Linked DNA regions of Macaca mulatta. The protein of the gene in region 1 purifies or fractionates together with the protein of each later gene. This does not show direct contact. Links are inferred from orthologs where the notes say so. Each region holds a gene or a part of one and is shown on either strand. Other genes may lie near its edges.

What was found. Proteins that work in one complex are often made in the same cells at the same time.
Region 2: the proteins of AP1B1 (region 1) and AP1G2 fractionate together in Homo sapiens (co-fractionation; 3 studies listed by BioGRID and IntAct, with this or other methods). This does not show direct contact. The link is inferred for Macaca mulatta from reciprocal best matches to the Homo sapiens genes AP1B1 and AP1G2.

What each region holds. Positions count from the first base shown.
Region 1 is NC_133415.1:22,198,381-22,201,940, reverse strand, and holds part of AP1B1 (AP-1 complex subunit beta-1), read right to left. Parts: intron 1,762-3,560; coding exon 1,534-1,761; intron 55-1,533; coding exon 1-54. UniProt on the Homo sapiens protein: Subunit of clathrin-associated adaptor protein complex 1 that plays a role in protein sorting in the late-Golgi/trans-Golgi network (TGN) and/or endosomes.
Region 2 is NC_133412.1:96,663,460-96,667,606, reverse strand, and holds the start of AP1G2 (AP-1 complex subunit gamma-like 2), read left to right. Parts: upstream 1-1,289; 5' UTR 1,290-1,403; intron 1,404-1,586; exon of another isoform or gene 1,587-1,681; intron 1,682-1,709; exon of another isoform or gene 1,710-1,816; 5' UTR 1,817-1,817; coding exon 1,818-2,021; intron 2,022-2,445; coding exon 2,446-2,570; intron 2,571-2,712; coding exon 2,713-2,854; intron 2,855-2,973; coding exon 2,974-3,318; intron 3,319-3,431; coding exon 3,432-3,527; intron 3,528-3,945; coding exon 3,946-4,026; coding exon of another isoform or gene 4,027-4,050; intron 4,051-4,147.

The sequences.
Region 1 (3,560 bases):
AGCACCACAGCAGAGTTGGCGTGGGAGAGCCTGGGGGTGACCCGTTCACAGATGCTGGGATCCGTCCATTCCAATGGGGCAAACAGGAAAGACAAAGGGAAACATCCTGTTTTTAGTTACCAAAATAGCATGTACAGGCCAGGCGCAATAGTTCAAGTCCTGTAATCCCAGCACTTTGGGAGGTCAAGGCGGGTGGATCACTTGAGGTCAGGAGTTTGAGACAAGCCTGACCAACATGGTAAAACTGTCTCTACCAAAAAATACAAAAATTAGCTGGGCATGGTGGTGAGCACCTGTAGTCCCAGCTACTCGTGCGGTTGAGACATTAGGATCACTTGAACCCAGGAGGTAGAGGTTGCAGTGAGCCGAGATTGCGCCATTGCACTCCAGCTTGGGCAACAGAGTGAGACCCTGTCTCAAAAAAAAAAAAAAAAAAAAAAAAAAAAAGCATGTCTAGCCTGGGCAAAATCATGAGACCCTTCTCTACTAAGAATAATTTTACACATTAGCTGAGTATGGTGGTGCATGCCTGTAGTCCTAGCTACTTGGGAGGCTGAGGCAGGAGGACTGCTTTGAGCCCAGGAGTTTGAGGCTGCAGTGAGCTGTGACTGTGCCACTGCACTCCGGCCTGGGTGACAGAGCGAGACCCTGCCACAAACAGACAAACATGTTTTTTGTAGAAGAAAGATCTAAATCCTGGTTCTGCTGCCTGCTAACTCCCAGCAGGTTGAAATCACTCTGCACCTCAGTTTCCTCATCTATAGAATCAAGATGATGCTGCCTACTTCACAGGGTTGCTGGGGGCTCAACTGACATAATGCATATAAAGAACAAGGCCGGGCGAGGCTGAGGTGGGTGGATTGCTTGAGCCCAGGAGTTTGAGACCAGTCTGGGCAACACGGTGGAAACCTGTCTCTACAAAAAAAAAATATAAAAATTAGTTGGGCACATTGGCATGCGTCTGTAGTCCCAGGTACCTGGGAGAATCGATTGAGTCCCGGAGGTTGGGGCTGCAGCTCCAGCCTGGGGGACAGAAACCCTGCCTCAAACAAACAAACAAACAAACAAAAAAGAACAAGCACAGTACTGGCACATAGTACATACTGTATAGATGGCAATTCCTCACTTCCTCCGACTTGGAGGGTATCTTGTGGTTAAGACCATGAGTCAGGTGAGCCCCAGCTGGGGGATCAGCTGGGGGACCTGCCAAACACCCAGTGAGAATTCAATGGGCAGTGGCTCTGGCACTACCCATCTACTGAACTCAACAGAGGTGCCCTGGGCTTCTGCGAGCTCCCAGGCCAGGCCAGGCCTATGCCCACAGCAGGCACCGAGCTGACTGCCCAAGGCAGCTCTCCTGCCTGCCTGGCTCTGGAGAGGTAGGAAGCAGGCAGGCCTCCCTTTAGGTGTGTCTGAGGGTAGGTTGTGGGGCAAGGCACTAGAAAGGGGCCCACTAAGGCCCAAGGCCTCATTGGAGCCCCTGAGGACCAGGGTCCTCAGGCTGGGCTGGCAAGCAAGGGGCAGCCCACTCACCTCTGGGCCTCGCGGTCGTCCTTAGGTGTATAGTTGGCCAAGCAGTCCAGGATGAAGATCTGGCCCCACTCGGTGCACTCGTTCAGGGCTGTCAGCAGCTTGTTGATGGACTGTGGGTTCAGATCGAGCAGGTTGCTGCTGGGGTGAGACTCGGCGATTTCTGAGAGCGCTGCCACCGCGTTGGCCACCACCTGGTTGAGAGGGTAGAAGGGGCAGAGGCTGGGGGTGCTGCTCACAGGCCACGGGGCGGTGGGCTAATGATGCTGGCTGGTCAGAGGTCAAATATCCTGAAAGGAATATGACCCAATGGGCAGGGTCTGGAGCTGCAACGAGACCCACTCCAAGCACTCACCCTGCTGACTCCTCTGCAAACTGGAACAAAACCAAGTATGCCTGCCATTTAGAAAAACAAGAAAGACCTGGGTCCAAGTGCCTAGCCATAGAAAGCATTCCCAGCTTTTTTTTTTTTTTTTTTTTTTAATTTATTTATTATTATTATACTTTAAGTTGTAGGGTACATGTGCATAACGTGCAGGTTTGTTACATATGTATACTTGTGCCTTGTTGGTGTGCTGCACCCATCAACTCGTCATTTACATCAGGTATAACTCCCAATGCAATCCCTCCCCCCTCCCCCCTCCCCCCTCCCCCCTCCCCATGATAGGCCCCGGTGTGTGATGTTCCCCTTCCTGAGTCCAAGTGATCTCATTGTTCAGTTCCCACCTATGAGTGAGAACATGCGGTGTTTGGTTTTCTGTTCTTGTGATAGTTTGCTAAGAATGATGGTTTCCAGCTGCATCCATGTCCCTACAAAGGACACAAACTCATCCTTTTTTATGGCTGCATAGTATTCCATGGTGTATATGTGCCACATTTTCTTAATCCAATCTGTCACTGATGGACATTTGGCATTCCCAGCTTCTTAACACAGCAGCCCCTGTCTACCAGCAACAGCAGCTCACTTCAATGCTTGTCAGCTGTGCTTCTCAGAGCTAGGGGATTCCTGCCGATCTCCTTGAGGCTACTGGGAGTGGATGGGGGTTGGAAAAGAGGAGCTTGCCAGGTGAAGCTCCAGGCCCTCAATCCATTTCCACTACAGCAGGTGTTTTGGTTTTTTGCTTGTTTGTTTGTTTTTGAGACAGAGTCGTGCTCTGTCACCCAGGTTGGAGTGTAGTGGTGTGATCTCAGCTCACTGGAACCTCCACCTCTTGGGTTCAAGTGTTTCTCATGCCTCAATCTCCCGAGTAGCTGGGATTGATTACAGGCATGCACCACTACACCCGGCTAATTTTTGTATTTTTAGTAGAGATGGGGTTTCACTATGTTGGCCAGGCTGGTCTCAGAGTCCTGACCTCAGGTGATCCTCCCGCCTCAGCTTCCCAAAGTGCTAGGATTACAGGTGTGAGCCACTGCACATAGCCTGTTTTTGTTGCTGTTGTTGTTTTGATATGGAGTCTCGCTGTGTTGCCCAGTCTGGAGTGCAGTGGTGCATCTTAGCTTACTGCAACATCTGCCTCCCGGGCTCAAGCAATCCTCCTGCCTCAGCCTCCTGAGTAGCTGGGATTACAGGCACGCACCACCATGTGCAGCTAATTTTTGTATTTTTAGTAGGGATGGGGTTTCGCCATGTTGGCCAGGCTGGTCTTGAATTCCTGACCTCAGGTGATCCATCCCCCTCAGCCTCCCAAAGTGCTGGGATTACAGGCATGTAATCCTGTATGAGTCACTGCACCTGGTTTCAGGCAGCTGTTTTCGTTTTTTTTTTTTTTTTTTTTTTTTTTTTTTTTTTTTTTTGAGATGTAGTCTAGCTCTGTCACCAGGCTGGAATACAGTGGTGCAATCTTGGCTCACTGCAACCTCTGACTCCCCGGGTTAAAGTTATTCTCCTGCTTCAGCCTCCCGAGTAGCTGGGATTACAGGCACATGCCACCACACCCAGCTAATTTTCGTATTTTGAGTAGAGACGGGGTTTCACCATGTTGGCCAGGATAGTCTCAATCTCCTGACCTTGTGATCCACCTGCCTCA
Region 2 (4,147 bases), on another chromosome or scaffold:
GCCTGAGGGGCCTGCTGTCCCTCTGAGGCCTAGTGAAAAAGCTGCAGGAGGTGCATCCTCCACCTCTAATCTTGGAGGCTATTAGCTCACCTCCAAGCACTGAGCTGGGTTCCTGCCCAATTCCATCCTTCCCTGAGGGAGAGAAGGGAAGTGAAAAGTAGAATAACTCCCTACCATTTCCCTCTTTTTCTCCTCATCGGCCAGCCCCTCCTCCAGCCCCCTCTGGTGGCATGCCATGCCAAGAGCAACGTGTAAAGGAACAGAGAATATCCAATGCAGTCAAGTCCACCCCGCCCAGACTTTGCCACTGCCTTCTCCCACCCTTCTGTCTCCCCCACAATAGTTTATTTGGTTGGTCTGGACTCACTTGTGGCCTTTGATTAAATTCCTAAGGGGCCTGAAGAAGACATTTCTACTGCAGAGGGTTAGAGGCACTTGAGCAAGGCCCCCACACCCCAACTCTGGGAGTTGTGGTCGGGGGAGGCACTTCTTGGGGATAGGACCAGACAAGATAACAGGAGCTCACAAGGAAGCAGAAGCTGTGACAAGTTTAGTAGTCTCAAAATGGGTTATGTCCCTTCCCCCTTCACATCAGAATCTTGTGAAATGGGAAAACAACAGAAGGAGGGGATCAAAGAAAGCTGATCTCACATGCTTCCCAGGCAGGGCAGAGGTGGGAGTCAAACCTGGGTGACAGGTGGGTGGAGAGCCCTGTTTGAGGTTGTGGTTGATCCCTCTCTGGTATTAGCTTTTCCCCTGGGAGCAGGAAGCCCTAGGAAGAGGGGACTGTAGGGTCCCCAGGGGATCTTTCCTCCCTCCCCTGCATGAGGCAGAGGCAAGCTGCCTGCCAACCCCCTCCCTCAAGGAATGGCCTTGCCCGGGAATGCCCACCACACATACCCTCTTTTTTTCTAGTCAAACTCTGTTTATTCCTTGGCTTGCCTCCCTCCTTCCTCCCCTCTCAACCTTTACTTCTGATTTCTATTTCATGGAATTTGGGATTGAAGTTAAACTACAACAGTGCCGCCAACACCAAGTCTTGCAGGAAAAAAATACAAAGAAATTTAACAAAAAAAAAATATATTAATAAAAAAGTTCAAAAAAGGGGGGGGATTGTCATCTCCTTTGGGGTGCGATGGCTTCAAATCCAAACTGAGGCTCTCCGGGTGGTGACGATGTGCGAGGAGGCCTCTTGAAGAACTCCAGGCCTATCATGCTGTCTGTCCGCTAAAGCCTGAGGCTCGAGGTCAGAGGATCCAGGAAGGCTCTGCAGTCGGCCCAGGAGGGCGGGGTCCCGTGGTGGAGGCGGGGAGAGGGAAGGACCGCACTGATCACCAACCCCTGCTCTGCCCCGTACCAGGAAGCGCTGGGGGGCAGAGGAGCGGAGTTGAGGCAGAAGCCAGGTGAGGCTGGAGTCGTGGGGGTAGGCAGGCTGTCGCTGCCGCTGCCTGAGATGGAAATCGGGGGAGGAAGCTCGCGGAAGAAACAGCGGAGGGTCGTGGAAAGAAAGCAATGGCTAAGCTAGGGATGGGGTACCAGGTAGGGGGAGGAAACGGGAGAAATAGGTGGGGCTCCAGCGCATGCTCAATAGGAAGGGGCGCCGGTAGGGTGTCGACGCATGCGTAGTGGGCTTCTCGGGCGGTGGGGTGGTCGCGGAATTTGGAGACCTACTTCGGGAAAGGTAAAATGCGGGAGCAATTTTAGGGTACCTGTGGGACCTGGGCTCTTAGGGTCCTGACACAGGACGCGCCTGGGCCGAAAACCCAGGCACGCCCGGCCAGAGAGTGTTTCTTCACTCCCGGACTCTGCCAGTCAGAATGGTGGCGCCTTCGCTGAAGCTTCAGGACCTCATCGAAGAGATTCGCGGGGCCAAGACTCAGGCCCAGGAGCGGGAGGTGATCCAAAAGGAGTGCGCCCACATCCGGGCCTCCTTCCGCGATGGGGACCCAGTGCACAGGCACCGGCAGCTGGCCAAACTGCTCTACGTCCACATGTTGGGCTACCCCGCCCACTTTGGACAGGTACTGGCCAGGAATACCTCCCTCCTGAGCTTGATGAAGGCTAGTGGGGCAGAGTCACGGACTCTCTCACCTGTTTATGCCCTGGTTTTTAAAATTCTACAATTTCAGAGTCATCACAGGCTGCACTGCAAACCTCTTTCCCCATTGCTACCCCTACTGGTCATCATCTGGCCTGAACCCTTCATTCTCTGGCCAGCCTCGTTTAGGGCAGGCACCTCCTCCTTTCCTCTCCCATCCTCCTCAACTCCTAGTTCCTCCTACCCACTAACGCCTGAATTTCCTAAGCTTCTCCTCTTGTTGAAGGGAGAGTGATGAGATAGGATGCCCCACAGGTTAATCTGGTTTTAAAGAGGAAGATGGAACAGGGATGTGAGTGTCTGTGGTTTCACCCCTGCCTCTTCCTGGTTTGCCCCCTTGACTATAGATGGAGTGCCTGAAACTGATCGCCTCCTCCAGATTCACAGACAAGAGGGTGGGCTACCTGGGGGCCATGCTTCTATTGGATGAGAGGCACGATGCCCACCTGCTCATTACCAACAGCATCAAGAAGTGAGAGGGTTCTGGCAATCACTTGGAATCAGGGAGATGGGAGAGTAGGGACCTTGGAAATCCCAGGGGACTGCCTGTTGTGGGTATTGAAAAGGACTGATTTTCTCAGAGGTTTGACTGACCGTCCTCCCAAACCCTGCAGTGACCTGAGCCAGGGGATTCAGCCAGTACAAGGCCTGGCCTTGTGCACTTTGAGCACCATGGGCTCTGCTGAGATGTGCCGAGACCTGGCCCCAGAGGTGGAGAAACTGCTCCTGCAGCCCAGTCCCTACGTGCGCAAGAAGGTGAGATGGTGGGACTCCTGGCACTTGCTCCTGCAGATACTGCCTGCTGTGTGCCATATAGTAGTAGATGCAGGGGTCAATCCCCTCTGACCCCTGTCTGAGGCCCCGGACCTCTGCAGGCTATTCTGACTGCAGTGCACATGATCCGGAAGGTCCCTGAACTCTCCAGCGTCTTCCTCCCACCCTGTGTCCACCTGCTTCACGAGCGTCACCATGGTAAGGCTGTGGGGCTCCCCATCCTTTGCTTCAGCTCTGTGGACAGAAGAATTGAAAATTGGATGGGAACACCAGCTCATAGGAGAAGGGTAGCGGACACACACAGGCACACACGCAATAGACTCTCTTGCCCCTGGCCCCCACCATTCACTTCCCCGACCCTGACCCCAGGCATCCTGCTGGGCACCATCACGCTGATCACGGAGCTCTGCGAACGAAGCCCTGCAGCCCTCAGGCACTTCCGAAAGGTGGGCTGGTGAAGGGGCAGGCCCTGGGCCTGAAGAGAGGGTCAGTGGGGAAGGAATGGGGCTTTAGCTGGAGAGGATTAGAACAAATGCCCAAAGTTGTGCCCTCCCTCCAGGTGGTACCCCAGCTGGTACAGATCCTCCGGACTCTGGTGACAACGGGATACTCCACAGAACACAGCATATCTGGAGTCAGCGACCCCTTCCTGCAGGTGGGGTGACCTTTCACTGCTGTATCCCTGGAACAGAGAGGGCATAGCAGTAAGACCATGACCAGTGGTCTCCTCCAAGAGAACACTGGCCCTCTCAGTGTCCTGGGCAGCAGAATAGCAGGCACAGGATTGCTCAGGTCATCCCAGGACCTGTGAGGGGAGAGAGAATGCCTAAAAGTCAGGAAAATACAGTTTGGTAACAATTTTTTTTTAAGCCTGTCCTAAACTCCCCTGGCCTCAGACACCTCTGTTCCCCTCCCAGGACCAAGGGACCTGTGGAGGTGAGGAGGTGTGGGGAGGATCTAGGGAGCGAGCCAGACCCTCACAGTGCTCTCCTCCATGTTAGAGTTTTCTCCTCAGCTCCATGACTCCTTATCCTGTGAACCCCTTCACCTTTCAATTTTCAACCCAACCTCAGGTCCAGATACTTCGTCTGCTTCGGATCCTGGGCCGGAACCACGAGGAGAGCAGTGAGACCATGAATGACTTGCTGGCCCAGGTCGGGGCTGGGAGGAGGGCACTGGTTAGCTGTGTTGCTTGGAGACCCCACCAGCCCTGGGTGCCCCTCACTTGACTCCTCACTGTGCAGTGGCCATATCATTGCCTCTCCGTCTCCTCTA